7 linked regions of the Coturnix japonica genome follow. The protein of the gene in region 1 interacts with the protein of each later gene in a pairwise test. Links are inferred from orthologs where the notes say so. Each region holds a gene or a part of one and is shown in the gene's direction. Other genes may lie near its edges.

What was found.
Region 2: the proteins of WWP2 (region 1) and ANKRD44 interact in binary tests that used the Homo sapiens proteins (3 or more experiments, as listed by UniProt). The two-hybrid records come from large-scale screens. The link is inferred for Coturnix japonica from reciprocal best matches to the Homo sapiens genes WWP2 and ANKRD44.
Region 3: the proteins of WWP2 (region 1) and FBXL18 interact in a two-hybrid assay, tested with the Homo sapiens proteins (3 studies listed by BioGRID and IntAct). The link is inferred for Coturnix japonica from reciprocal best matches to the Homo sapiens genes WWP2 and FBXL18.
Region 4: the proteins of WWP2 (region 1) and ATN1 interact in a two-hybrid assay, tested with the Homo sapiens proteins (2 studies listed by BioGRID and IntAct). The link is inferred for Coturnix japonica from reciprocal best matches to the Homo sapiens genes WWP2 and ATN1.
Region 5: the proteins of WWP2 (region 1) and WIPF1 interact in binary tests that used the Homo sapiens proteins (3 or more experiments, as listed by UniProt). The two-hybrid records come from large-scale screens. The link is inferred for Coturnix japonica from reciprocal best matches to the Homo sapiens genes WWP2 and WIPF1.
Region 6: the proteins of WWP2 (region 1) and ARRDC3 interact in binary tests that used the Homo sapiens proteins (3 or more experiments, as listed by UniProt). The link is inferred for Coturnix japonica from reciprocal best matches to the Homo sapiens genes WWP2 and ARRDC3.
Region 7: the proteins of WWP2 (region 1) and ARRDC1 interact in binary tests that used the Homo sapiens proteins (3 or more experiments, as listed by UniProt). The link is inferred for Coturnix japonica from reciprocal best matches to the Homo sapiens genes WWP2 and ARRDC1.

Annotation. Positions count from the first base shown.
Region 1 is NC_029526.1:17,007,385-17,010,884, forward strand, and holds part of WWP2 (NEDD4-like E3 ubiquitin-protein ligase WWP2), read left to right. Parts: intron 1-481; coding exon 482-563; intron 564-780; coding exon 781-909; intron 910-1,144; coding exon 1,145-1,223; intron 1,224-1,337; coding exon 1,338-1,409; intron 1,410-1,500; coding exon 1,501-1,589; intron 1,590-2,606; coding exon 2,607-2,766; intron 2,767-3,434; coding exon 3,435-3,500. UniProt on the Homo sapiens protein: E3 ubiquitin-protein ligase which accepts ubiquitin from an E2 ubiquitin-conjugating enzyme in the form of a thioester and then directly transfers the ubiquitin to targeted substrates.
Region 2 is NC_029522.1:128,324-131,823, forward strand, and holds part of ANKRD44 (serine/threonine-protein phosphatase 6 regulatory ankyrin repeat subunit B), read left to right. Parts: intron 1-259; coding exon 260-377; intron 378-1,374; coding exon 1,375-1,591; intron 1,592-1,963; coding exon 1,964-2,051; intron 2,052-3,282; coding exon 3,283-3,366; intron 3,367-3,500. UniProt on the Homo sapiens protein: Putative regulatory subunit of protein phosphatase 6 (PP6) that may be involved in the recognition of phosphoprotein substrates.
Region 3 is NC_029529.1:4,224,774-4,229,065, reverse strand, and holds the start of FBXL18 (F-box/LRR-repeat protein 18), read left to right. Parts: upstream 1-1,492; 5' UTR 1,493-1,558; coding exon 1,559-1,669; intron 1,670-1,752; exon of another isoform or gene 1,753-1,911; intron 1,912-2,691; coding exon 2,692-2,892; intron 2,893-3,649; coding exon 3,650-4,292. UniProt on the Homo sapiens protein: Substrate-recognition component of the SCF (SKP1-CUL1-F-box protein)-type E3 ubiquitin ligase complex.
Region 4 is NC_029516.1:69,591,290-69,594,789, forward strand, and holds part of ATN1 (atrophin-1), read left to right. Parts: coding exon 1-27; intron 28-871; coding exon 872-2,847; intron 2,848-2,922; coding exon 2,923-3,145; intron 3,146-3,224; coding exon 3,225-3,500. UniProt on the Homo sapiens protein: Transcriptional corepressor. Recruits NR2E1 to repress transcription. Promotes vascular smooth cell (VSMC) migration and orientation. Corepressor of MTG8 transcriptional repression.
Region 5 is NC_029522.1:15,026,708-15,030,207, forward strand, and holds part of WIPF1 (WAS/WASL-interacting protein family member 1), read left to right. Parts: intron 1-732; coding exon 733-945; intron 946-1,725; coding exon 1,726-1,839; intron 1,840-3,126; coding exon 3,127-3,182; 3' UTR 3,183-3,500. UniProt on the Homo sapiens protein: Plays a role in the reorganization of the actin cytoskeleton. Contributes with NCK1 and GRB2 in the recruitment and activation of WASL.
Region 6 is NC_029547.1:52,949,491-52,953,532, forward strand, and holds the start of ARRDC3 (arrestin domain-containing protein 3), read left to right. Parts: upstream 1-1,242; 5' UTR 1,243-1,529; coding exon 1,530-1,809; intron 1,810-3,473; exon of another isoform or gene 3,474-3,995; coding exon of another isoform or gene 3,996-4,014; intron 4,015-4,042. UniProt on the Homo sapiens protein: Adapter protein that plays a role in regulating cell-surface expression of adrenergic receptors and probably also other G protein-coupled receptors.
Region 7 is NC_029532.1:1,142,514-1,146,803, forward strand, and holds the start of ARRDC1 (arrestin domain-containing protein 1), read left to right. Parts: upstream 1-1,490; 5' UTR 1,491-1,593; coding exon 1,594-1,711; intron 1,712-3,529; exon of another isoform or gene 3,530-3,544; coding exon of another isoform or gene 3,545-3,575; intron 3,576-4,290. UniProt on the Homo sapiens protein: Functions as an adapter recruiting ubiquitin-protein ligases to their specific substrates. Through an ubiquitination-dependent mechanism plays for instance a role in the incorporation of SLC11A2 into extracellular vesicles.

The DNA of each region.
Region 1 (3,500 bases):
GATAGGGAGGAGGCAGGGAGTGCGTGCAGAGCGTCCCTCCCAGCATGGAGTGGGACTATGCTGGGGGCACATGTGGTGATGGGGGCACAGCAAGCAGAGCAGTGGGCAGCAGTGCTGCTGGTGTGACCAGTGTGTTCGTTTTATGGCTGCGCTCAGCAGCGAGGGGGCTGTGTGTGTGTGTGTGTGTGTGTGCAGGCAGCGGGGCTGCAAAAAAGCATCCTTGGGGTCATGCCCCCAGCAGGGTGCCCCTGGGGTCCCCAGCACACTGAGCCTTCTCCAGAGGCACTGCAGCTTCTGCACATGGAAAAAACAATGTAATTTTTAAAGTAATTATTTTCATTTTTGATTCTTCCTTTTCCAAATGCACTGTGGCAGAGCAGGTGGGGTGGGGGTTCTGACAAACACTGGGAGGGGAGGGCTGAGCCTGGGACACTGGTGCCTGCTGCGCTCCAGCTATCGCTCTTCCTCTGTTTCCTCCTAGAAAAGAGACAGGACAACGCGCGGGTGTATTACGTGAACCACAACACGCGGACCACGCAGTGGGAAGACCCTCGCACTCAGGGGTAGGAGCCCATGGGAAGAGCGGGGGTGATGCTTGTGGTGGGGCACCAAGCACTGAAAAGTGGTTGTGAGGGTGCTGAGCCACATAGACTGGGGAGTCGGAAGGGAAAACATGGTGCTGGAGGTGCCAAAATCCAAGGCAGTCTCCAGGGAGAGCAACACAAAGCAGGGAGAGACGCCCCTCAGGTGGCAACATGGTGACCCCATCTCTGCCTACAGGATGATCCAGGAGCCACCCCTGCCTCCTGGCTGGGAGATGAAATACACCAACGAGGGCGTGCGCTACTTCGTGGACCACAATACACGCACCACCACCTTCAAGGACCCACGGCCAGGATTTGAGTCTGGGTACGTGCTTAGGGCTGGGCTGGGGTCACTCACAGCTCATCTGCCTGCGTGGTCACAGTGCAGGGTGGGCAAAGTGGGCTTTGTGGCAGAGGCACTGAGCATTGGGTGTGGGTGAGTGTAGGGCCTTGCACTGTGTAGAGAAGAGCTCCCTGCATGTAGTGGGGGGCAGCTCCCACCTGTGGACATGGCAGCACATGCTGGGCCGTGCCCTGAGCCCCTGCTGGACCTTTTGCAGGAGCAAGCAGGGTGGGTCACCAGGTGCTTATGATCGGAGCTTTCGCTGGAAGTACCACCAATTCCGCTTCCTCTGCCACGTGAGTAGTGCAGCTGAGGGCTGCTGAGCCTGCAGGGCTGGGGGTGCTCATGGGTGCGCTGGTGATGTGGGACTGCCATGCCAGCCCATACAGCCTCGTGTCTGTGCCTTGCAGTCAAATGCCTTGCCCAGCCATGTGAAGATCAGTGTTTCCCGGCAGACTCTCTTTGAGGACTCCTTTCAGCAGGTGAGGGGGTGTAGGGCTGGCAGAGCCCTGGGTGGCACAAGGCTGTCCCCCTTTGAGCATCCCACAGTGATGTGCTCCTTGCCCCCTGTAGATCATGAACATGAAGCCCTACGACCTGCGGCGCCGCCTCTACATCATCATGCGTGGTGAGGAGGGCCTGGACTATGGCGGCATTGCCAGGTGAGTGTGGGGCCACGTGTCTGCTGTGGGGCTGGGTGAGCCCCCCATGGCATGAAGCCTTCTGGTAACAGGGCTCAGGGTTCCTGGCCCTCTTCCAGTGCCTGCTCAGGGAGAGGAGGTGAGAACAGTGTGAGTTCTGGGAAGGCATTATTGCACTCCCTGATCCCTTGTACAGGGAGGGCTGGGGGTCCAGCAGCCCTCAGTGCGCTGTGATGGGCTGAGCTGCCTCCTCTCCCTCCAGGACAGGCACTGGTGTTTCTTCTTGAGACGGGCGGTGTGTGCCAGGGCAAATGTGGTGCTGCTGGCTTCCACCATCTACCCAGTGGATGGTGCCATGTGGCACTCTGCTGTGCCTCCAGCTGGAGGGACTGTCTGTTGTCCCCTGGCCATCCTGCCTTGGGTGTAAGGCTTAGTGGTGGGCTTGCACTGCCTCTTCTGCCCCAGAACCCGTGCTGCAGTGTGCTCCCCACCTCCTCCTTCCCAGTGATGCTGCTGCTGGCTGTGGGCAGGGCTCCTGCTGCCTGTGTCTCTCTGTGTCCTGCCAGTGGTTTTACCCTATGGTAGGTTACGTCATGCTGTTCTACCACAGGGTAGAACCACGGACGGGATGCCGGGGCTGCCTCTGCGTCCGAGGACTGCCAGTGGTGGGGGAGCAGAGTGAGGGCTGCGCCTGTTCTGCACTGCTTTGAGTGGGAAACTGGGGGGGGGGGGAGAGGGTTGTGGAGAAGGATAGCTGGTGTTTGTGGGCACTGTACATGTGTGCACAGGCACATGTGCACGTGTTTGACAGGCTGGTTTTTCCTTACTGATGTCTTCAGAGGCACTTTGCGGCTGGGTCCTGGGCTGCACAATACTCTCAGCAGGGCTCAGTGCCTGCCCTGCACCCCAAGGAGCTGGGCACTGTCTGTGCAGCCATGTTTCATGGGCACAGGGCTGTCCCCACTGCTGGGACAAAGCCTCCCATAGCAGACCCAGGTGCTGATGTCTGCTCACCACTTTTCCCTTCCTCTTGCCCAGGGAGTGGTTCTTCCTCCTGTCCCACGAGGTGCTCAACCCCATGTACTGCCTCTTCGAGTATGCCGGCAAGAACAACTACTGCCTGCAGATCAACCCCGCCTCCTCCATCAACCCTGACCACCTCACCTACTTCCGTTTCATCGGACGCTTCATCGCCATGGTAAGAGCCCGGGGCCGGGGAGCCCTGCTTGGCATAGTCACCTTTTCTGAGCACTTTCTTGCTCAGTGTGTGCCCAGAGGAAGAGTGGCCATAGCAGCATGAGGTGACGTGTTGCAGGGCTGGGGCTGGCCATGAGGCTGGGGTCACAGTTTCCTGGGGCTGTGCCTCCAGGCTATTGGCTGCCACCCGGTGCTATCAGCTCTGCAGCCCTGGGGCTGTTTTTAGCCCCAGCAGTGTGAGGTTTTCCAGCTGCCCCTGCCTGGCTCCTCCTGTTGTTCTCACCCTCCCCAGGGCCTGGTGGGCAAAGGGCTGCAGTGGTACCAGATGGGGCAGGGTCTGCCCAAAATGCTGCGCCCTGCCCTGCCCCACGCCTTGCAGGATCCCAATAAAACTCCAGACTATTACTCACCGCTGGGCTGTTCTAGACAAGCGTCTGCATTATTTTTGGCTGCCTTTGCCTTGGGGCTCCTGGAAGCCAGGGATTCAGGGAAGCCACGGCAGAACTCTGTTTAAACAAGTGCTCTTAATAGAGCTGCGACGGGAGATGGAGATGCAGTGGAATTCATGGTGGGGAGGGGAAGGGGTTGCGAGCCCCGTGCTGTGGGTCCAGCCGTGGTCTGCAAGGAGCCCATCCTGGTCCCTCTGATCCCCATCTCCGCACCCTTTAGGCTCTGTACCACGGGAAGTTCATTGACACCGGCTTCACGCTGCCCTTCTACAAGCGGATGCTGAAC
Region 2 (3,500 bases), on another chromosome or scaffold:
CCTGTGTATACAGGTATATGATGCTGATAAAGTGAGACAGAATGTTTGTTCAAGGTGAACCCTGAATCTGAGATGTTATTGTAAAACTTGTGGAGATGATAATCATAGTAGGTTTTTAAAAGGAAAAGAATAGTCTGGAGCAATGTTGCTCTCTAAACTGCTCGCAGATGAGTTTGTCTTTTTCAGTCACGATATCTGGCTGTTGGGTATCTTAAAAGCAACTTCATGCAACTGTTTTCACTTCTTTTTTTCCTTCCAGAACCCCGCTCATGCTTGCAGTGGCATATGGACACATTGATGCTGTTTCCTTATTACTTGAAAAAGAAGCATCTGTAGATGCAGCAGATCTCCTGGGATGCACAGCTTTACATCGAGGGGTGACTTCATTTTTCTAAATTCGAAGCATTTGTTTTCTTGTCACCACAGTTCATTCATAAACACATAAACGTAGGGATGTTTAATGTAGGAGATATAGCTGATGATTGAAAAAATGACCAAAAACAGCCAGTGAGGGAAAAACTGGGATAAATCTGCTCTGCTTTTGACTGTTCACATTAATTAATTAAAGACTGGATCTTAGATAAAATTAGTGGAGACAATTTACTATAGCAGTCATTGCTATAACTGAGAACTTCATGAATTTTGAAAACAGTGTATTTAAAAGGATGCCCAGCAGTTATTATCCTTTTTATTGGGTAGCAGAATATAACAATGTTAGCCCTAAACTTTTATCCAGAAGCAGTGAAGTTCAAGGCACATCTGACCTTTTCTAGACGCCATCTTCCTATCCAGTTTGAAACTGATGCAATCAATCTTATTTATTCAGAACTCTGTAATTATTGCAGTGAGCAATTCAGCTTAGAGTCCAATGCTGGTTTGTAATAAGCGCTATGGTGTAAAATTGCTGTTCTGTTTTGACATCAATACGTGAACATTACAAAGGTGCCAAAGCTAAACTATATGTGTTACAGAGGCCCAGCTGTTAAAGCATCTTTTCATACTTCTGATAATACTTTTTATCTTCCCCTCAGTTCTTGTTGCACATTTGTATTCTTTCTAGAGTAGCCGGATTCGTGTTTTGTAGCCTCACCCTTTGCTCATATATTTCCTTAATCTTAAACTCCTCCTTGCTTTTGAGTCTGGCTTAGAGAAGTCTCTTCCACAAACTACTAATCAGTGCCTTTGGAAGACAGTGCCAAATATGTTTCAGTTTAGCAGTTATCACAGGTACCCATGGGAGAAATGGAGATTTCATCTCCGCCATCTGAATCTCATCCAGGTTTTTTCATGCTTACAGTCATCAATTGTATTCCATGTTTCCCAGGTAGAAGTGTGCATTTATTTCAGCCTCTTTACTTATTTTTTTGTTGTCAGATTATGACTGGGCATGAAGAGTGCGTTCAGATGCTTTTAGAGAAAGAAGTATCTATTTTATGTAGAGATGCTAGAGGTAGAACACCTCTGCACTTCGCAGCAGCTCGGGGTCACGCCACTTGGCTGAGTGAATTACTGCAGATTGCACTTTCAGAAGAAGACTGCAGTTTGAAGGATAATCAAGGTTATACACCACTGCACTGGGCTTGTTACAATGGTAAGTTTATCCCCGTGGATTGTTGCCAGGTTCAAATGCGGCCTCTGTTTTGAGGAAGCATGAAAGCAAAGCAGACAGACTTTGGGAAGATTGAAATGAAGGGTTGGATCATTTCTCCCTACTTGTCCTCTGTGGTTTGTTTTCACTATGTTTACCCTTCAGTTCAGGAGCCAATGAACTTCCAGCAATGCTTCCCAATGACTTTGTGACTTACAGAGAAGTTCTCAGTCACTTATAATTCTGTCACATAAAAGTTCACAATATGTTCAACCTTAATGTGCTTAAAGTGTTAAAGCATAATCCTTCTGTGCCTGGTATGAAATAAGTCAATTCCCTGCTTTGTGCAACACTCGACATTTCTGTCTCTTGTAGGTCATGAAAACTGCATAGAGGTACTATTGGAGCAGAAATTTTTCCGCAAATTCTATGGTAATAGCTTCTCTCCGTTGCACTGTGCTGTGTAAGTAGAAATCTGTAACCAATGCAGATGCTTTGCAATGGGTTACGCCTGGACAAAGTAGTGATACAAGAAAAAAAGCTGTCTTTATGTAATTTGCATGAGCAAACCATTTAAAAATGGTTCATAAAATGGTGCTTGTTCTTCTGCTGAGAAAAAGCAGTTGCATAATAAGGAACATTGGGCATAAGTTGAATACATCTGAGCTATCTGATGAAGTGCTGATGTATCATTAAATAGCTTTATTTCGACTCCATTTCCAATTTCTTTTCCCTTTCTTATCACTTCAGGCTTTTATTTGGCACTGAGTGGAATTTCATATCTCTTCCATTCTTAGGCCATGACCTGGGCTATTAGAATGACAGAGTTATGAACTCCTCCTACTATTAGAAGAATTAATATATTCCAGAAGTAACGATGGGAGTTATTGTGTTAACTTCTTTTCTACAGTCCGCATTTGTTGCAAGATAGAAAAGAGATGTTGGTAGTTTCCAGGTGTCATACATAATGAAACAGAAACCATGTATGAGAGAAATAAAAACCGTTACAAATCACTGCTTTTATTTTACTTCAAACTAGTATGTAATTCATAATAACTAATTCTCCAGCCTACCTCAAAACACATGCAACTGAAAGATGCACTTACATTTAAAAGGACAGAACTGCTGCTAAGATGACACAAGTGTGTCTTTTAGCCATATTAGACGTATATTGTATGTCATTATGTTACCATATATTGTTCATTTTCATTATGAAATAAGACAAATTGCCAGTAACCAGGAGAGTACTGAGTTACATCCAAGGGAAATATTGAAAGTGGGTTTTGGAAGAGCCGTGTGTTTTGAGACCTTAAACGTTAGAGTGAATCTCTCTATATGTAGGTATATATGACCGAGTGCTTTCTCAGTTCAGCTCTGATTGTTGTTTAGACCAAAGGATTTAAAGGTTTTAAGGTTCTAATCCTAGTTTGGTACTGTAGTTTCAGTTCATCTGGTGCATAGGGAATTGAAGGATCAGCTTTGCTTTACATGTGGAAATCCACAGCAATAGATGCAGTTGGGTTAAGTGAAGTCAGGGTGAATGGTCAGAATTGTGACTAAAAGTATTAAGGCAAAAGGTATATTGGGATGAATTATAAATAATCACTAAGAACTATTAATGGGAAATGAAGTAAATGAATACTGGATAGCAGTAAATATGTAGAGCTTTTATCTTTCTAACGTGTCTTTGGCAGAATCAACGATCATGAAAACTGTGCATCAATGCTCATCGGAGCCATCGATGCCAGCATTGTCAATTGCAAAGATGACAAAGGAAGGTAATAGCTTCTTAAACAAACTGCTTTTCATCATCATGAATGCATCTCTTTTTTGTTATTCCTTTCTGAATTTCTGGAAATAACCCTTGTGGTTGAGCTAAAACTTATAATGCCGACTCTTTCAGACAGCAGCT
Region 3 (4,292 bases), on another chromosome or scaffold:
GGATGGCAGGGATCAGACACAGACTGTTGTATACCACCCAGCCCTTTACTCCCCTCCCTTTAACTGCCCAGGGGGAACTGGCTCAGCTGAATGGAGCTGAGCAAACATGTTTTATTCCTTTTCTTCCCTCAGAGCTCCCAACTTTCGCTCCTGCTGGAGACAGTCGCTGGCACTTCACCTGCAATTAGCTGGTGACCTGGAAAGTCACCTCGCTGAGCTGCTTACGGAATCAAGCCACCGCCAGGAATTAGTGATGTCCTTGGCAAAGGAGACGGCTGCGGCTCTCAGGATTTACCCCTGAAGGGCCTCCTTGTGTGGCTGCCTCGAGCTTTGTCAGGGAGCACTGACCAAAAATGGCCCCTGGCTGTTGGGGGGATCCCATCCTCTTGTTGGAGGGCACTGGCAGCGTGCAAATGTCCCAAGGAGTCCCAGGACATTCAAACACATCTGGCTTCCTTGTGGAAGTCCCCTCTGAGGGCACAAAGGGATGGGTTCAGAAAACGGGCTTTTCTTGGTGTCAGTTCATGGATGAGACGCTGGCTGGAGGAGGAGGAGCCCTGCTCTTTGAAGTTGTGCTCTGCAGAGGGAATGCTGACCTCAAGCCTGCCCCGGCTTCTGTTATACCCATCTGTAATCTACTTTAGCAGGCCTTACTGTATTAAATCGTATCAAGCACCCAAACCCACTTACAGCTGCAGAGATAGCAGTGTGCCCAAGCACACAAAGCGTTCTGACCACTGAGCTTTGTTACACTGACAAAAAGATGAGCTGTTAAGAAGAACTGTGGGAGAGAAATGACTTAAGAGTTTCCCAGGAAAAAAGAATAATAAATCCTCAGGGCTGCCCGGCCATGAACTGTTCAGAGTTGTTGTACAGAACACAATATCTTGATGCTACCAGCAGATTTGTTTGTTTGCCCTCCTGGACCTGGACAGTGTGGTGTGAGTTTGCCTTCTTTGGGCTAGGAAAGCTCTATGAGTCATATTGTGATCAAAGTCTGCTTGGAGACAGACCAGCACTGAACTGATGCCATTTCACAGGAGCTCCAGCTTTACTTTGGGGTTGGTAAGTGCAGCCTGGTCCACATGCAGCCCATGATGGCAGGGAACCATGGCTAACCCTCACACTGGCTGCTGCAGCTGACCCAGCCCTGGGCTTTGATGCTGCTTGTGGGCTCTGCTTATGGCTTTATTTACATTTGCAATTGAAATGCAAGTCTCCTCCACCCTGGTCTCTGCTTTCATACTGCAAGTCTGGTAGGTTGGTATTCATCTTAATGTCAAACAAAGCAGCCCTGAGTGTCATTATCTAATGTTTAACCGAAACTTGACAGAAAAGCGAGTATCGATGCAATGAATGAAGCCGTCCTGCTCCTCAGGGCTGAGGTTAAGATCTCGTTCACAGACTTTGAAGCACAAATACAGGCCACCACCCCCAACATGGCGGCGCCGCCGCTCTCATGATGGCGTCGCTCAGCGGCCGCTCCATCACTTCCGCTTCACCCTGCCACGCTCAAGATGGCGACGGCGGAAGTGTAGCGAGGCGCGGAAGCCGGGTCATGGCCGCGCCGGAAGAGCCGAGCGGCGGAACGGAGCGGGGCCGGGGGGCGGCTGGAGTGAGCCGGGAGCGGCGGGACCCCGGGGCTGCCGCCATGTCGTGCTGTGCACAGGTGAGATGTGCGGCCGTGCGGGTCTGCATGGGGGACACCGACCCCTCGGGGAGGAGCCGGCGGGGCGAGCGGCTGGGATGGCGGAGGGTGCAGCCCAGCGGGTCCTGTGGTGGGGTGAACCCCCGTCGGTTGTGTGGGGCGGGAGGGCCCCGTTCCTTTGGGGGTGGCACGGCGTTAACGGGCCGTGATTCGGCTCCGTTAAAGATGGATGAAGGCCCAGCTGCCTCCAGAACCCCCGGCTGGTAATGGGGAGTGGGATGGGGGACTGTGTGCACCAGGGTTAGCACTGGAGCAGGGGGTATAACAGGGTGTATCAGAGGGTGTATCAGAGGGTATAACAGAGGGGATATCAGAGGGTATAACAGGGTATAACAGAGGTTATATCAGGGTATAACAGAAGTTATATCAGAGGAGGTATCAGGGTATAACAGGGTATATCAGAGGGTATAACAGAAGTTGTATCGGAGGGTATATCGGAGGGTATATCAGAGGTTATATCAGAGGGTATAACAGAGGTTATATCATAGGGTGTATTGCTGCTGGGGGGCTGCACCCATCCCGAGGAGCCCTTGATGCCCATGGCCGCAGTGTGAGCCCCCTGTGGATGGCTGTGGGCAGTGTGTGATGTTGGGCTGCAGAGGGGTTTTTTTTTAGCATGTAAACGGTTACATAATTTGTGAGGTTATTGGGATGGGCTCCTCGTAGAGGAAAAACGTGGAAAGGATCTGCCTGCTGCACTGAGGGCCACAGCTTCCAATTGCAAAGGGAAATGAGCATAAAGATCTTTATTCATGTGCTGAAGCTGCCATGGCTTTGTGTGAAGCTTTGCAGTACCTCCCTGTTGTCTCTTAAGGGCGAAGGCAGGTGGTTCGTGTTCTGTTTTTCCCCTGTCTCACTCCACAAATCCCTCTGATGCTCACAGTATCTCTTTTCTCATAAGTTTTGCTGCAGTCTTTGAGCTGGTTGCTTTTCTTTGTCTTCCCCCCTCTTTTCTTTCCCCCCCCTCTTCTTATTTCTTTTAGGATCCTGTGAGTGGGGAGAACGAGGAGGAAAGTAACGGGATCAATTTGATGGAGTTCTCAGATGAGATCCTTCTGCACATCCTAAGTTACGTCCCTTGCACAGACCTGGTCCTGAATGTCAGGAAGACCTGCAGGAAGCTCGCAACACTTTGCCTCGACAAGAGTCTGACCCACACAGTTTTACTTCAGAAGGACTATAAGGTGGGATGAATATCTTGCTGCTTCTGCTAGCTATGAGAAGACACCTGACTTGTGGAATGCTTTATTAAAACAGCTCTGTGCTTCCTTAGTTTTCACTGGTGGTATTTTATGTGACTTCACTGGGTCTATGGAAGCTAAAATGAACGTAAATGCCACTTTCCATTTGCAGCTGCCTTTTGTGGTTGTATGAAGCTGTAACGTTCCCCAGGTGTATTTACTGTGTTGTACAAATGAATTTGTCAGACACGCAGTCAGCTCATTCAGTAAATGTGCACTTTTTGTAACAAAAATAAAGCTTAGGGGTGAAGCATAATATGAAGGCTGCATCCCCAGGCTGGAGTCAAAGAGAAGCCTCTCTTATTTGTTTCCAGAAGAAAGAGGATGAAGGGGAATGAAAGGATTCTTTTAGCTTGTGCTGCTATGGGCTGGTTCAGCTGGTTTCAGTTATTCCTGAAGTAGTTTAGCTGTTGGAAGGTGGATGATGTTCAGCAACTGACGGGATGGAGGACAGATTTAGCCCCTCAGTTGGTACTGCAGAACTGCACAGCCTAAGAAACTGAAGGAATTCTAATCTTAGAGTCCAAAGCTTGGCTGACAAAGCCGTGCTTTAATGAGGCATGTGTTAGTGATCCGAGGCCCTTAGATGAGCTATGAAAGGTGAGAGCTAACCAGTGCTGTACCCATCTTCAGATGGGAAACTGAGTCATTGCATGCTACTGCCTTATGTCTCATTGAATCTGGTTTTGTTTGGGTTCAGGTGAACAAAGACAAAGTGAAGCAACTGATGAGGGATATCGGGAAAGAGATTTACCAGCTGAACATGGCTGGGTGCTACTGGCTGCCCAGCTCCACTACTGACCACGTAACACGGTGCAAGAACCTGGTCAAGCTGAACTTGTCCGGGTGCCGTATCACCTCTCTGCGTCTCTCCAAGATGCTGTCCATGCTGCAGCACCTGCGGTCCCTGGCCATAGACGTGAACCCGGGCTTTGATGCCAGTCAGCTCAGCAGTGAGTGCAAAGCCACCCTCAGCCGTGTGTCAGAGTTGAAGCAAACCCTTTACACTCCATCATACGGCGTTGTGCCGTGCTGCACTAGCCTTGAGAAACTGCTGCTTTATTTTGAGATCCTTGATCGCTCACGAGAAGGTTTGATGCTGTCTGGACAGCTAATGGTGGGCGAGAGCAATGTGCCTCACTACCAAAACCTTCGTGTCTTCTATGCCAGGCTGGCTCCTGGCTACGTTAATCAGGAGGTGGTGAGGCTGTACTTGGCTGTGCTGAGCGATCGGACACCTGAGAACCTTCATGCCTTCCTTATTTCTGCCCCTGGTAGTTTTGCTGAGACGGGAGCCACTAAAAACCTTCTGGATTCAATGGCTCGAAACGTACGTCTGGATG
Region 4 (3,500 bases), on another chromosome or scaffold:
AGTGCTCCTAAAAAGACTAAAACTGAGGTGAGTTCTCACCATTATGGTTACTGGTACATTCTGGACCCTACCTGTGCTGCTCACATGTGCCTAGCTTGGGATTCTTTTTGCTTGATATCTCTGCCACATCAGACTGTGCTCTACAGCTCTTCTGCAGGCAGGTCCCAAGTGACACCTGTAGTTACACCTACATAATTTCCCCATGTGGACTCTGCTCAGCTCAGCACTGATCTTTTTATCAGCTGAACTGCTCTTGTAAGCTCTGAGGCTCGATTGTTAGTTGCCCACATTAACTTAACCACTGACCACATTAATTACCACGGAGCTGGGGGGGGAGGTCAAGAGAGCAATGGCAAACACAGAGTGAACCCCAAAAGGTAAGGAGTAAGGCAGGAAGGATGCGCTCAGAGCAGGGCCCGGAGGTCTAAGAAGCAGGTCTCTTGCTGAGCAGGGTGTCAAGGAAAGCCCTACATGAGGAAGAACTGTGGGTTTGGGGGCTGTGTGGGCAGCACTACCTCCCTCCCCACCTTGCTGTGCCATCTGGTGGTAGCACTGGCTCATATCTTGGCCAGCAGCCCTTTACCAGTGCAGGTGCCGGGACCTTGTAGGTGCCTTGTTTCAGCCTCATCTGTAGTGGTTACTGTGTTTCTGAACATGAGATGCCCATCATCATCTCATTTCCAAGTGTGTGATAAAGTACCGAAGAGCACCTGAGCTGCTATTCCAAAGGGCAGCAAGAGAACTGCCAAATGAAGCCTCCTTCCCTCAGTGTGCTTTCCTAATGCTAGGGATAGCAGAGGAAGGTGAGATTGAAAAGTGTCACGCGTGATCTGGGAGGTCACATAACTTCTCCTTCCTTTCACTACTTCAGGAATTACCCTGTCCTCCATCCCCTTCTGACGTTGACAGCCTCGATGGCCACAGCTTCAATGATGAGATGAGCAGCGACCCACGGGACATCGACCAGGATAACAGGAGCACCTCACCCAGCGTCTACAGCCCTGGCAGTGTGGAGAATGACTCCGACTCCTCCTCTGTGCTGTCCCAGGGCCCATCCCTTTCTTACCACCACCCTCCGCTTTTCCCCCAGAGCCCTCCAGTCGCCCCCACTTCCGACAGCTTGTCCCGTCCAACTGAGCCTGGCTTCAGTCTCCCAGGCGAGACCCACCCCCAAGGCCCCACGGCTGGTGGCTACCACTCCCAGCTGGAGGGCCAGGCCTCCCGCATTTTCCAGGCTCCAGCCCCACAGACACCTGCCTCCTCTTCTTCTGCCGTTGCCACCACTTCTGCCCCCTGCTCTTCTTCCTCCTCCTCTTCTTCCACTTCCACCCATGCTCCTCTCTATCCTACGGCCAACGTGGTTCAAGTTGGTTCCAAAATTGCTGGTGGGGCAGGGGGCCTTTCAGCAGTGGGGAGTCGCGAGCAGACCCTCGGCGCGAAGCACAATCCACCACCCACCACTCCCATCTCACTGGCATCGGTGGTTGGGGGGCTGCCCCCTCAGAAGACCTCCCCGGCCAACCCACCGCCTGCCCCCCCAGCCTCCGCGCCTTCCTTCCCGCACGTCTCAGCCAACCTGCCACCCCCACCGGCCCTACGCCCACTGAACAACGTGGCAGCCTCCTCCAGTTCCCCAGGGATGGCGGGGCAGGCCTTGAGCGGGCACTTGGCATCACCCCACGGGATGGGCCAGGACAAGGCACAGCCCCTGGCCCCCTCACGCTACCCCTATGCACCTCCGCAGCTGCCACCCTCGAGCACTTCTGCTCAGTACCCACAGCCCTCCCCCACCCAGCCCCTGCCCAGTTACACTGCCTCCTATGGGCACTCCTTCCCCCCGCCCAGCGGCCTTTCGGTGTCCAGCCAGCCCCCCAAGTACACCCAGCCCTCCCTACCCTCACAGCCTGTATGGAGCCAGGCCCCTCCTCCCTACAACCGCCCCCTGGGCAATTCCAGCTCCCATCTCCCAGCCTCCTTCCCTGGTCAGTCTCCTCATCACCAGCAACCACCCCAGCAGCACCACCATGGCCACAGCACTGGTGGGGGGGTCTCCCCAGCTGTAGCAGCGCCCCCCCCACAGCCCCCTGGGGGTTATCCCCATGCCCTGGAGTCCAACAGCCATCACCCATCTCATGCCACATATGGGTTGCGCCTCTACCCCCCCCACAGCCAGGCCACTTACAGCCAGGCTCCCTCAGCTGCTACAGCCCCTTCCTCCTCCTCCTCCTGTTCCTCCTCCTCTTCCTCTTCCTCCTCCTCCTCCACCTCTTCCCAGGGAAGCTACCCTTCCATATGTGCTCATCCCCCAGGGCAGAGTCCTGCCACCTACACCTTCCCCCCGCCGCCACCCCCCTCCCCAGCCCACGGGGCTGGCCCTCCAGTCACCTCTGCAGCCACCACCGTCTCTACTGTCATCACCACCATGGCCTCCCCATCTGCGGCCCCCTACAAGACCGTCTCGCCCCCAATGCCCCCCTCAGCTGTGGCCCCATATGGGAAATGTGCGGCCTCCCCCATCCCCACCTTCCAGCCCCCAGCTCCCTACAAACCAAGCTCTCCCCCAGCTTCCTCGGCTGCCCCTTTCCGGGCTGCAACCCCCCCAGGCTACCGGGTAGCATCCTCCCCTGTAGCCAGTGCCTACAAGGCCGCCTCACCCACCCCACCTGCCCCACCACTGCCAGGGAGCTTAGCCACCCCAGCCCCACCACTGCCTCTCAGCGCTGCCCAGATCAAGCAGGAGCCATCAGAGGAGTATGAGCCCCCAGAGAGCCCTGTGCCACCTGCTCGCAGCCCCTCACCACCACCCAAGGTGGTGGATGTGCCAAGCCACGCCAGCCAGTCGGCCAGGTAGGAGCAGGGAAATCCCCACTCTGTCCTGTCCCCATTCCTTCTGCTCTGACACCCTGTATTTGATGCCCTCAGATTCAACAAGCACCTGGACCGTGGCTTCAACTCCTGCTCCCGCACAGACTTGTACTTTGTGCCCCTTGATGGCTCCAAGCTGGCCAAGAAGAGGGCAGACCTGGTGGAGAAGGTGCGTCGGGAGGCTGAGCAGAAGGCTCGGGAGGAGAAGGAACGAGAACGGGAACGGGAGCGAGAGAAGGAGCGGGAGCGGGAGAAGGAGCGAGAGCTGGAGAGGAGCGTGGTAAGTCCAGAGGATGCTGGAGACTGACATTGGTGGTGGGCCGCAGGTATCCTGATGCCATTCCTTTGCTCTCTTGCAGAAGATGGCCCAGGAGGGCCGGCCGGTGGAGTGCTCCTCCCTGGGGCCCGTCCCCCACCGCCCTTCCTTTGAGCAGGGCAGCGCTGTGGCAACTGTGCCCCCCTACCTGGGCCCCGACACCCCGGCCCTGCGCACACTCAGCGAATATGCCCGGCCCCACGTCATGTCCCCCAGCAACCGCAACCACCCTTTCTACGTGCCGCTGGGTGCCATCGACCCAGGTCTGCTGGGCTACAATGTGCCGGCCATCTACAGCAGCGACCCAGCCACACGGGAG
Region 5 (3,500 bases), on another chromosome or scaffold:
GTAAATACTGTTCTGCAATGGTTTGAGGTAGATGATGGGTTTTAGTAAGGTTTAGGGAGAGAAAGCACTCTGGAAGCTTTCCAGTATGTGTCTGTAACTAGATTTCATCAGAACAAGGAAGCATTTAAGAAAATGAACATAATGGTCAATTGCCCAACTACACTAAGCAGAGGTGCTGAGACCTTTGGCCATGTGCAGCCCTCCACACCCTCTGCATGGCCTTTTCCTGTCCAAGCTGTGGATTTCTCTCCGGTCTCAATTTACTGCTGCACTGGGAGCATCACTTTCCTAGCCTGTGTGGGCTCTGCCTTCACGTTGCCCTGCAGAGCTTTTCTGCTTCGCTGTGAAGCTGGGAGTTGGTGAGGTATGGCCTGGCTCCTCAGTTCACAGAGCTCCTGCAGTAACTGCTCATTGAGGCCATTGTGATTTAGAGTGGTTTGATATTGGCTTCATGGGCCAGCACCTCTGCAGAGCTGCTGCAGCTGAGGGGGGCAGGAATACGTGTGCTGAGGTGTGTTTGTGTTTGAATATTCCTGCTCCTCTGACCTCTGCAGGTTGTAGGCTCCCCATCAAGCCCTGGGAGCAGGGAGGTGGAACTGGGGTCTGCTCTTCCCAGGGCCCGAAGTGGTCCACACTATTAGTGGGAGGCCATGGGACATGGGCAACGGTGTAACACCACAGAGCAATTTGGGGCAAACAGCATTTTTGTGCTTGTCTCTATTCTCTCTCCAGGCCCCCTGCCACCACCACCTCCCCTCAGCAGGAATGGAAGCACTTCGAGGGCTTTACCTGCTGCTCCCCAGCTGCCTTCCCGGGCTGGGCTGGAGAACCACAGGGGTGGGCCTCGGCCACCACTTCCCCCGGACCGGCCGGGAACAGGCGCTCCACCACCACCCCCACCACCTTCATCAGCGCTCCGGAATGGCTTCCAGGACTCGGGCGACGGTAAGCTGTGCTCCCAGCTACTTGCCCTCATAGAGGTTTTGTAGCTGCTCTTGGCCTTATCGTGACTAAAAGGGTGGGGCAGAGGATAGAACAGGACTGCAAAACTGTCAGTATAGGCTTTAAAATGTTCCTTTGAAATATAGCCTGAAAAGGAAGAAAGCAAAAAAAAAAGGAAAAAGAAACACTTTTCCATACTTAGCTTTGCTAAAGTGCATGAAGAAGTCCTAAGGGGACTGTACTGGCTGCAATGTGAATTCAATCCATAGCTACACTAAGGCTGTTTGTAAGTCAGAACAAGTTAGATGATTACTCAAAAACTGTAAGCTGAAAGAAAGAGAAGAGGTTGTCAGAATTCAAAGATGTCAAGTTTCGCTCTTCTTGCTGGTGTTATTGAAAAAGTGAGGTTTAAGATCGCTGAGTTTTAAAGATTTATTATGCTTTTCTTTTGGGTTGTTGTCTCTTTGCAAAGGATGGATAAATCTTTTGGTTAATTATGCTAGGCTGAAGCCTAAATGGCTTGCAGGATTCAGAGCCTTCAGTGCCTTTACATGCTGGTTTCTAGTTGTAACCACTGGGAATTAACATATTAAAACTGAATCCCAACAAATAACCTAGTAGGATGCTGGTTCAGTATTCAGCTATCACAGCAGTTTGCAATAGAAGACATGCAAGAAATTTGATATTAGTATCAGTTGATTTTTTCTGAACCTGTATCACACAACCAACAAGTAAAACACATCGTGTTCTGTTTTGTTTTATGTGTTTTTGTCGCTCTTTCAGATGAGTGGGAAAGTAGATTTTCTTTCCATCCTATATCTGATTTGCCACCTCCAGAGCCATATGTACCTGTGAATAGAAGTTACCCCAGTAAACTAGCAAGAAATGAAAACCGAGGTAAGTTTCTTCCGCCTCTGGTTCTGGAATTTAAGCATATCTTTTGTAGAACCAGTGTAGATGGGGAAGAGATTGGCTTCTGAGGTTTCAGAACTTCTCCAAGTGCATTTTTCCCCTCCACCATGTAGAAAATACAGGTTCAAGCCCTTTTGAACTTGTACTACAGAGTGGGATGGGAGGAGGATTGTTTTGTTCCTAAGTTGTGACCTGTATTGTAAGATACTGCTTTGGCCATAACATTCAGCCCCATTCTGCTACAGGCAGCCAGAGCTGCAAAATCCCAGCTTCATCTTTGATTTTTGTTTGTCTGGTTTTGTCCCTGTTACTTCTCTTGGAACTCTCTTCTAGAACTTCTTTCTCATTCCCCATCTAAATCTATGCATGACTCATTTATTTGTGTGCCAAAATTGTCCTTGAGTTTTAGTTTTCTTCCTTGTTGGTGTGTTGAGCCCCTGCTATATTTTTTTTTAAGACAAGTCATACTCTCCTCTCAGCTTTTGGTTTGCTGAGCTCATTATATCAGGAAGTATTACACTCTTCTTCCAGGCTAAATTCTGTTTCTCTGATCATTGATGTTGCTGCTGTATACATTTCAGCCTGATTTCATCTTTTTGGATCAGTGTTACATGCTGTTCCAGTTGAGGTCTCAGGCATTCCATTAGTTAGCGCCATTTGGCCTGGTACACCCAAGGATTAATTCAGTTCTTTCACAATAGGTCAAATCAGTCCTCATAGTTATCCTGTAATCATCTGTACACTCACATGTTTCTCTGTCTGTCTTGTTTCCAAATTATGAGGTTTTGGTGTGGAGCAGAAATTCCTGTTAGTCTCTGACCCTTCTGTTTGTCTCTTACCTTTCTTCTCATTCGTATTACCCCGCAAAGAGAGTCAAAGAAATCAGTTTTGAATGACAATCTTCATTTTGGGAAATACAGGACGAGCTTCAAAACATTACTACTAGAGCTTGCTGCTTTCATTAAAATGTACATGTGTTGCAAGTAGCATTGAGACCATATGTGTTTATATAGTAAGAGTGACTGATCTGCTTTGAAAAGGCAGTAAAGGACTGAAATGCTAATAGTTTCTAGGCATTTGTAGATAATGGTAGTTACAAACTTAATTTTACATTGTTTGAAGTTCTTGCGTTGTTTAGTAAACTAATCAGAAAGTCTAGAAAGATATTTTCTAGATGGCTAGACAAGGTAATGAATAGATCTTCTGGCTTGGATGTAAACACCCACTATAAAAAGAACCGAAGAATAATGGAAAACTTTCTTCTTTTTTCAGGAGGCTCTGGTCGAAAAGAAAGAGGTGTCCCCCCACTTCCACCTATACCAAGGTGAAGTGGGTTCTGGCCCATTTTTGGGCAACCTGTGTTTTACAAGGTTTCCTTCGAGTCAGCTCTCCTGCCCACGTTGTTGGAAAGTTGTCTGTTTTGCTCTACTTCCACTTTTGGCTTGTCAGCTGGAATAAACTTTGGTCTATTACAAAAGTAATAGACAAAGCTTATGAACTGTAGTTGCTCAAAGCTATAAATTTTGTTTGCTTATACTGCAGGCTGTCCTGAAAGGCGTTTTATGGACCATGCCCGACATTTGTGCATCATACTTACCGGGTCCAGCCCTGTCCTCTTGAGAGTTCCACAGAGGTCTGGCTTTGAA
Region 6 (4,042 bases), on another chromosome or scaffold:
CAGAAATGGTATGGCCAAAGACAGCAGTCTTAAGGAGAGGGGAGGCAAACTGGGACCACAAGCTCTGCAGATTTAACGGCAACTTCACCAACAAGCCTAGAATGGGAAAAGTGAATTATGAGGACTGCCTCCAAAGCTGTGTTTCCTATTTTATTATGTTGGCCCACAACATCAGAGAAGGATATTGGTGGTCTGGCAGCAGCAACTGAACTTTCCCACCAAAATTCTGTTATGCTTTATTGCTGCGCAACAGATGGCAGCAGAGGGACAGTCTGACACAATGGTGTCTGACATGAAAGTGTTAATGAAGCAAAGGTGTGTCACTTTATTCCTGCACACAGAAGTGGCACTCACTGACATTCACTGACACTTGCTGAATGCTGATGGACACCAAACAGTGGATGTGAGCACAGTGAGGTGCTGGGTGGTGCATTTCAGCAGTGGTGACAGCAACAGTGGGTCACCCCTGCTGATGCAGATTGTTAGGAGCGTGGTGTGCAGGCTGTTGGTCATGGCTGCTGAAAATGCACAGCTAATGATGGTGACTGTGTTTTGCACCTGAGAATTCCTTCTATAAATAGTGTTACTGTGCTCTCTGTTGTAGTTGCAACTGAAATAAATGGGAGGCACTACTTTTAGAGTGATGTGCGTACATACGATAAAAAGATACAGGAAATAAAGGAGAATGTGCCTTATCACTGTAAGCAGCTCCCCTCCTTATCAACATGTGTACAAAAGGAATAAATCCACGTGGGTGCCTGTTAACCAAAGTGGGGTCTTTCAGCGTTAATAGACACAAGGGAAGAGCTGCATCTCCCCAAGTCTTTGCGACAAGGAAGGCAGAACCGGGTGGAACCGGCAGGGCTGCCCGGCACCCCGCCCCTCCGCAGGTTCCCGTCGATGCACCCACGTGCCGCACGGTGGTGCACACAGACAGATGGTCCCAGCACAAGGGCAGCGGTAAAAGCTGACTGTTTGAAGTTAGGCACAGAGCTCCCCAGCCAGGTGCTGGGCCGAGGGTGACTTCTTACCGCAGACAGCGGGCAAATACATAATACGCTTTACAACGCAGCTCTCCGGGAGCTCCGAGAAGCGGCCCGCGATGCCTCCGGGAGCTGGGGGCGGGCAGTGGGGCGGGCAGAGGGCGGGACGGCACCGCTCTTGCGGCGCATGCGTGAGCGTGTAGAGTTCGTGTAGGGGGGGTTGTTTGTCACAGCGCTTATAGTGAGGTGGCAGCGCTCCGGCACCGTCATTGTGAGCGGAGCGGAGCGCAGCGCCGGGCAGCCGAGCGCTCTGAGCGCTGCGGAGCGCCGGCATCCGCGGCAGGGCCGGGGCCGCCCCAGCCCGCCGGCTCTCACTTCCCCATGCTGGGGCTGTAGGTCGGCGAGGGTCGGTGTGCGGCGAGGGTCGCTTTTTGCTTAAGGCTTTTTTTTTTTGCTTTTTTTTTTTTTCTTTTTCCGCTTTCTTACAGTCAGTTCTTTTTTTTTTTTTTTTTTGATTATATTTTTTTCTACGCTTTGCTATAAAACATGGTGCTGGGGAAGGTGAAGAGTTTGACAATAAGCTTTGACTGTCTCAATGACAGCAACGTCCCCGTCTACTCCAGCGGGGACACGGTCTCAGGAAGGGTCAATTTAGAAGTGACGGGGGAGATCAGAGTGAAATCGCTCAAAATCCACGCTCGCGGGCACGCCAAGGTGCGCTGGACCGAGTCGAGGAACGCCGGTTCCAACACTGCCTACACGCAGAACTACACGGAGGAGGTGGAGTACTTCAACCACAAGGACGTCCTCATCGGCCACGAGAGAGGTGAGCCGCGCGGCGCGGTGGGGTCTCACGGCTTTTGGGGGGTGTTATTTTCTGCTTATAACCGGTTTTGTGTCACCTGCGAGAGCAGCCGGGGCGCCGCGGGGACGGAGAGCGGTGGGGGATGGAGGGGGCAGCGTGGGGCACCGCAACCCGGCCAGGAGCGGGAGCCCCGTGTCAGCCGGGAGCCGCGTTCCGCCGGGCTCGGCCCTCTGACAGGCGGCAGCTCTGCGGCCGATGATGCGACTGTTTCCAGCACTGGGCCGCCGTTCCCGCACACACGCTCGGATTTCAGCCCGCTGTCCGCTCGTGCCCTTCCTTCTGTACCCCTTTCTATTCCCCCCCCACCGGAGCCCCCTCCCCGGGCCCCGTGTCGCCCTCCCCACGCCCGCATCGCGGCGGTCCGGCGGACTCAGCGCTTGTTTTTGCGAAGTTTCCACCCTTTGTTAGAAGCGGTTCAATCCTGTTTGGGACCGGTCCTGGGCAGAGGGGGGGGGGGTGCTCCCGCTCGGCGCTGCAGATTGGCTGCGCGCGTCAGGTGGTGGCGATGACTTAATTCCTAGCACAGGAAAATAATGTTAAAACTGGTTATGTAATTCAGGGCCGCTTTTTTTTTTTTTTTTTTTGGCTTTTTTTTTCTCCCCTTTTTCTCCTTCAACATGCTGCATACCTACTGCATTGTGAGGTGCACTGAGGGAATATTCCCGTTTTCTTTGGGGATTTTTGGATGAGTTTCCCTGCAGGCTGCGTTGTTGTTAGACGTTTCCTAAACATCTATCGATACTACCGAACTTGGGAGTCAGAGCTCAGCTATATTTGAACATCGCTATCGCATGCATCCAGCTCCCACCGAGCTGTCTTCCTCACAAACAATTCCCCCGTACCAAAGTCCGTGAAGGTGACCGCAGCCTCCGGCCGTGCCCGTGCGGCCATGCGTATAGCTCAGCCCGAAGGACATCGCGGGGTGCTCCGCAATGCCGATCGAGCAGCCCCCACCCGGGCGATGCCCGGCGCGCTGCGGCCCTGCGGCCGAGTTTCAATGACTGACTGTGCCTCACGCCTCGCCCCGCAGCTGGCGGCCGAGGCCACGCCCCCTCGCGCCTCCGATTGGCCGGCCGCGGTTTGTTGGCCTGTTGCTAAGGCGATGCCAGCCGCTGATTGGCCGGCACCGTGAGGGCGCGGGTCCCCCTGCCCGCAGCCGGCTTGCGGCGGGGGGACGAGGGGCCGAGGGTCCGGGCAGCCTCGGGGTTGGGGCAGGGCGGCCGTAGGGGGACTCAGCGCTTTCCCCACCGTTCGGGTTCAGCTTCTGGTCCTCCGCACCCCGACCGCCACCCCACAGCGGTGTCCGCGAGCACCCCGGAGGGTCCAGCGCTGCGTGTCGGCACGTAGCGGGGCGGCCGGCGGGGCGAGCAGGACGCGGGCGGCTCCTCTCCCTCCTCTCTCCCCGCCCCCGCTTTCCCTCCTCCCCCCTGGGCGGCGAGCGGAGCTGCCGAGCGACTGCGGCGAGTGTAATGTATACTGTATGTATATGCAAGGCTGGCTGCGATCTGCTCGCGCCGGTTTAGGCCGGTCCTCTCCTGCTCCAGCCGGGCCGCTGATTGACAGCTCAGCACTTGTTTACCACGGCTCCGCCGCGGCCGCCCGGCTCGGCGGGACTGCTGAGCTGGCAGGACGGGGCCGGGGCGGTGTGCGGGGCGAAAACCTGCGGGATAACAATAAAAGGACGAGAAAGCCGCCCGCAGCCATCGCATCGCCCCTTAGCAGCGCTTAACTGGTTCTCCTTCAGTCGCGGCGAGCTGGAGGTGCATTTGTGTGAATGCATCTCCGCCTGTTTCTCGCTGTTCTGTTGCATTTTTAAGCAGTTCTTCAAGATTCCTTTCACCACCCCAGGTTGCCGTGTGCCCGTTTCTTTGCCACACCATATCTTTGTAGCACAGTGGGAGCCTAAAATGTCCCTTTGTGCCTCCATTAGTGCCTCCAGCCGCTGGCATTAAGCGGTTGTGCCCAAACCATAGCGGTACCTGTCGGTATCCCAGCCCTTATGGGTAGGAGGTGATCTCGGCTGTTTTTCTCCCAACTTCCGATTTTGCTGGAGTCAGCATTTTTAATTTTTATTTATTTTTTAGTTTAATGGTAATGATACCCGAATAAACCACAAACCCGTGGTGGGGTTTAAAGCAGTACAAGAAATGGTGACCGCAACCGAAGGTTGGTGTTCTTGATGGAACCAGCAAAT
Region 7 (4,290 bases), on another chromosome or scaffold:
GTGCAACAGGAGTGTGGCAGTGCAGAGCTCTGGGTCTTCAGATGTATTCCATGAGGAGGCAATGGGTTCAGCAAAGCCTGATGTAGCACAGGGTGATTCTGCTGCCCCTCACCTGCTTGTGTTGGTTGGTTGTTTCTATGCTGGCAATGTCACCTGGAGAGACTGGGAGGGAGCTGAGCTGCGGGGGCTGATGACAGAGGATGCGGGTTCATCTTACAGAAGGACAGGAGAGAAAAGTGGCAAAACAAAAGCTAAAAGGGCAGCGCAAGGAGAGCGGTGTATGGAAGCATCTGAGGGTGAGCGCCGCAGGAGGAGATGAGCTACATAAATTGTTGGCACGAGCCCATCAGGGTGTTCGTCTCCTGTGATGATGCACAGGCTGGAAAGAAAAAGTAGCTTTTAAGCAGCAGAGGAGTAACGGCCTGGAAGAGCTTCTCAGCAGGAGCCCTGTGTGCTGAGAATACACAAACCATTCCCATGCAGCGCTCAAACCCCTTCGGTGGGGCTTTACCCCCCATAAGGGGACCTGGGAGGCTCCTGCAGCTCGGGCTGGTGTCACTGCAGGGCCGGCCGTCCTGCTGGGTGTGTGCTCTGCGGATAAACAGCTAAACAGCCCTTGTTACGCTTATTCATTCCGCCCGTGTACACAACCTGCTTGTCATCAGCCGGGAGGCCTCTCTGGGAGGTGCCTTTCCCCAGCACCGTGTTTGGTGTTTGCTGTGGAATAAAGAAAAGGTGATTTATTATTTTATTGTTATTATTATATTTTATTTTAACAGAGTTTTTGAAACGGGATCATGCAGCAGAAGTAGCACCAAGGGGGACATACAGAGGGCAATGTGGGGTGCTGGTCTGCTGCTTGACCCGCAGCTCCCTGGGCTTGTCTCCCAGCCCTGGTCCCATGCTGTGTGCCTGTGTGCTTCCCACTGGACACTTGAACTAACTGGGGATATAATAAATAAGGAGGGGGGGAGAAGAGAGACAGCTGGGCAGGGAGAATTACAGGGAGATCAGATTAGAGGCGAGATGGAGCTGGGCCTGGGCTGGGCACCTGGCTCCATCCCTCACAGCCTGACCCCGCAGTTGGGTCCTTTCTTCACATCCTGAACCTATAGTTGGGTTTTATCCTCATAGCCTGAACCCGTAACTGGGTCTGCAATGCTGCCTGGCCCCATAAGTGGCTCCTTTCCCCACAGCCCAATCCCATAGCTGTGTCTTAGGTTCCCCCCCTGCAGCTCTATCTGGACCCATAGTCGTGTCTTTCCCTACCAGCTTGGCCTCATAATCGCGTCTTTCCTTCACACTGTGCTCCCATAACCGTGTAATTCCCTCACATCCCAACCCCATAACCGCATCCCGACCCCACAACCGCATCCCTCCATCCAACCTGTGTCCCACCGCCGCATCCCCCGCCCACATTCCCCCTCCTCTCCGTTCCTCTCCGCCCGCCCCTTCCCTCAGGGCCCGCCCCGACCCTACGGCACGGACCGGGGCGGGCGGAGGCGGGGCGGCCCGACGGGGCAGGGCGGCGGAGCAGCACGGAGCGGAGCGGCAGGGCAGGTAGCAGCGGAGCGGAGCGGGGCTGGAGCGGCCATGGGGAAGGTGCAGCTGTTTGAGATCCGCCTGGGAGAGAGCCGCGTCATTTACAGCCCCGGAGAGCCGCTGGCCGGCACCGTCACCGTGCGGCTGTCGGGCTCGCTGCAGTACCGAGGTGAGCTCGGGGCCTGCCCGGGGATGGGGACGGGGCTCCCCGGGCGGCGGCGCTGCGTGGTCGGGGCTCGGGGCTGGCAGCCTTTGGGCCGAGCTGGTCCGGAGCATCCCGCACCCTGTTGCATTATAGAGGGGGGTCTGGACCTGCCCCTGGGGTGGGCTGTTGGCCACCTTGTTGCGGAGAAGTCTGCAGCGGTTACACGTGTTGTAATGGGGGAAATATGAACTGGTTATTTTGTTTTCCTGTTCGTTTCTGCCCCTGAGACATGTTACTGTGGGGGTAATGATAACCAAAGAGCTTAAAACGCAGCCTCCCGTCGCTGGGAGGTGGCCGTGCTGCCCCGCCGCGGTTCCCCTGTTCTTTAGCACCTCTCCCAAGTGCTCACGGCGGATTTTGGGAGCTTCCTCGGGAGGAAAAGAAGCATCTCGGACAAGTGGAGGCTTGTCTGGTGTTTAACTCCCTCCCGAGCAAAGCGCGTGGGTCTCCTCGCCGGCTGCTCCCAGCGGCTCCTTGCACCGCCGGCATTGGCAGCCGGGCACGCTGACCTCCAGCCCTGCTGGGTGGGCTCAGCTGTGCTTTGGTAGCGAGCAGAGCCTGAGCTGGGCTCTGAGAGACGGCACATGCATTGAGGCAAGAGTCGAGGTGTGCCTCCCCCTGTTAGAAGCTTCTCTAGTGTCCGTTTTGGGCTGAGGTCACTCGCTGTGTGTTGGCTTCACCGCTGGGGTGGCAGTTTGCCACGGCTGGTGCCTGTACTGGCCCAGATAAGCAGTGCACGTGGAGACATGGTGCCTGGGCTCCTTGCTGTGCGCCCTCCCTGCTGGGCTGGTCTCACCTTCAGGAGAATGGGAGGAGTGGTGGTTGGAGCATCCTCCTGTGGGTACAGCAGCAGGCAGCTGGACATGATGGTGATGGGGTCAGTCAGCCTCTGGCACACTGTGCCTTCTGGGCATGTGGGGCTGATAGTCACAGGACAAGGGGGAATGGTTTTAAATTGAGACAGGGGAGGGTTTAGGTTGGATATCAGGAGGGAGTTTTTCACCCAGAGGGTGGTGACACACTGGAACAGGTTGCCCAAGGAGGCTGTGGATGCCCCATCCCTGCAGGCATTCAAGGCCAGGCTGGATGTGGCTCTGGGCAGCCTGGGCTGCTGGTTGGTGACCTGCACACAGCAGGGGGTTGGATCTGGATGATCATTGTGGTCCCTTTCAACCCTTTTTCTATGATCCTGTGGTTCTGTTGGGGTCTGAGGGGAGGTGGCTTCCCCAGCTTGTGTTCTGTGCTGTGTTCACCCACAGCTCCTGTGACCGGGACTGACAAGCAGCTCTCTGGGGAAGGCGTGCGGTGCTTCCCCTTTGCAGGGTCATGCTCACAGCACCCAGGTATGGTGCTTTCTATTTCCTGGACTGCTCTGACGTAGCAAACACAAACAGGCCTGTAGACGATTACTTCACACGGTACCTTGTTTTATGGCTCTTGGAAATTGCCCCTATCAAAGGATGGTCAGTGCAAGCGAACAAAGCTCGCTCTGCCTCGTCAAACATGCTGGAAGTCTTGGGTCATAGGGAAGCTTAATGGAGACACACCTTCTAGGATCATAAATGCTCCCACCTACGCTGGTTCCTTGCCAGCCCTCTGACAGCAGTAATGGCTGTTCAGTAACAAATTGGCCTTGCTGGCCATGTAGCAACGTCACAAATGGTGACTCACCTTTCGTGACCCATGTGGACCCTCTGGGGCCACGTCAGTGGGGCACACTCACCCCATGGCCGTGCCAGGATGGAGGTCTTCCTCTGAGAACTTCTGGGCCTCGAGGGATATCGCTAATGGGAGTCCATGTCCCTAATTGCTGTGCCTCACTTGCTGGGTAAACCATCAAATACCTGTGTACAAAGAATAATGAATCTAACAGGAAGCTGGCACTGGGACAGCTGGGTGTGGAGTTAATTTGGGGCAGGTGGGAGGGAAAGAAGTTGCTCTCAGAGCATGGGCAGCCCTGTTTGTTGGCTGGAACAACCCTGATGCTGCTCAGGGCTGCTGGAGCACTTTCCTCACTGTTCTACTGCATCCAGAGCCATGTGGGTTATTTCAGCCCTGATGCCTATTGCTCAGCGATGCTTCTTGTGGGCAGAAGTGTAACGGTAAATAACAGCTGTCTCTCCCAGGTCACGGAGAGAAAAGAAACTGAAAGCCCTTTCTGGAGCAGATTTCAGTGCCGTGTTCTCTGCTCTGTTATTTGGCTGTCCAGGTTTATGCGATGATGACTTGACTTTCAAATCAGTCCTTTGAACTACAAATCTGCAGGCAAAATATACTGCTGTCAGTTCGTGCTCTAGAAGTACCCAGGTACATAACTCTCCTTTCTGCAGAGCCTGAAATGAGGTACATGGTTTGACTTCTCAGCTGGAAAGCTGGGAAATCTGGCAGTGGAGAAGGGGGCTGAAGGCAGATCCTGAGCTGTATCACCAAACTAGAAGGTCACTTCTGAGTCCCTGTGTTGTTGGACTCTGACACAGGAAGATGTTCCTGCAGAAGGGCTGTGGATTGGGCTGTTCTGCGTAGCAGTGTCCATCAGATGGGCA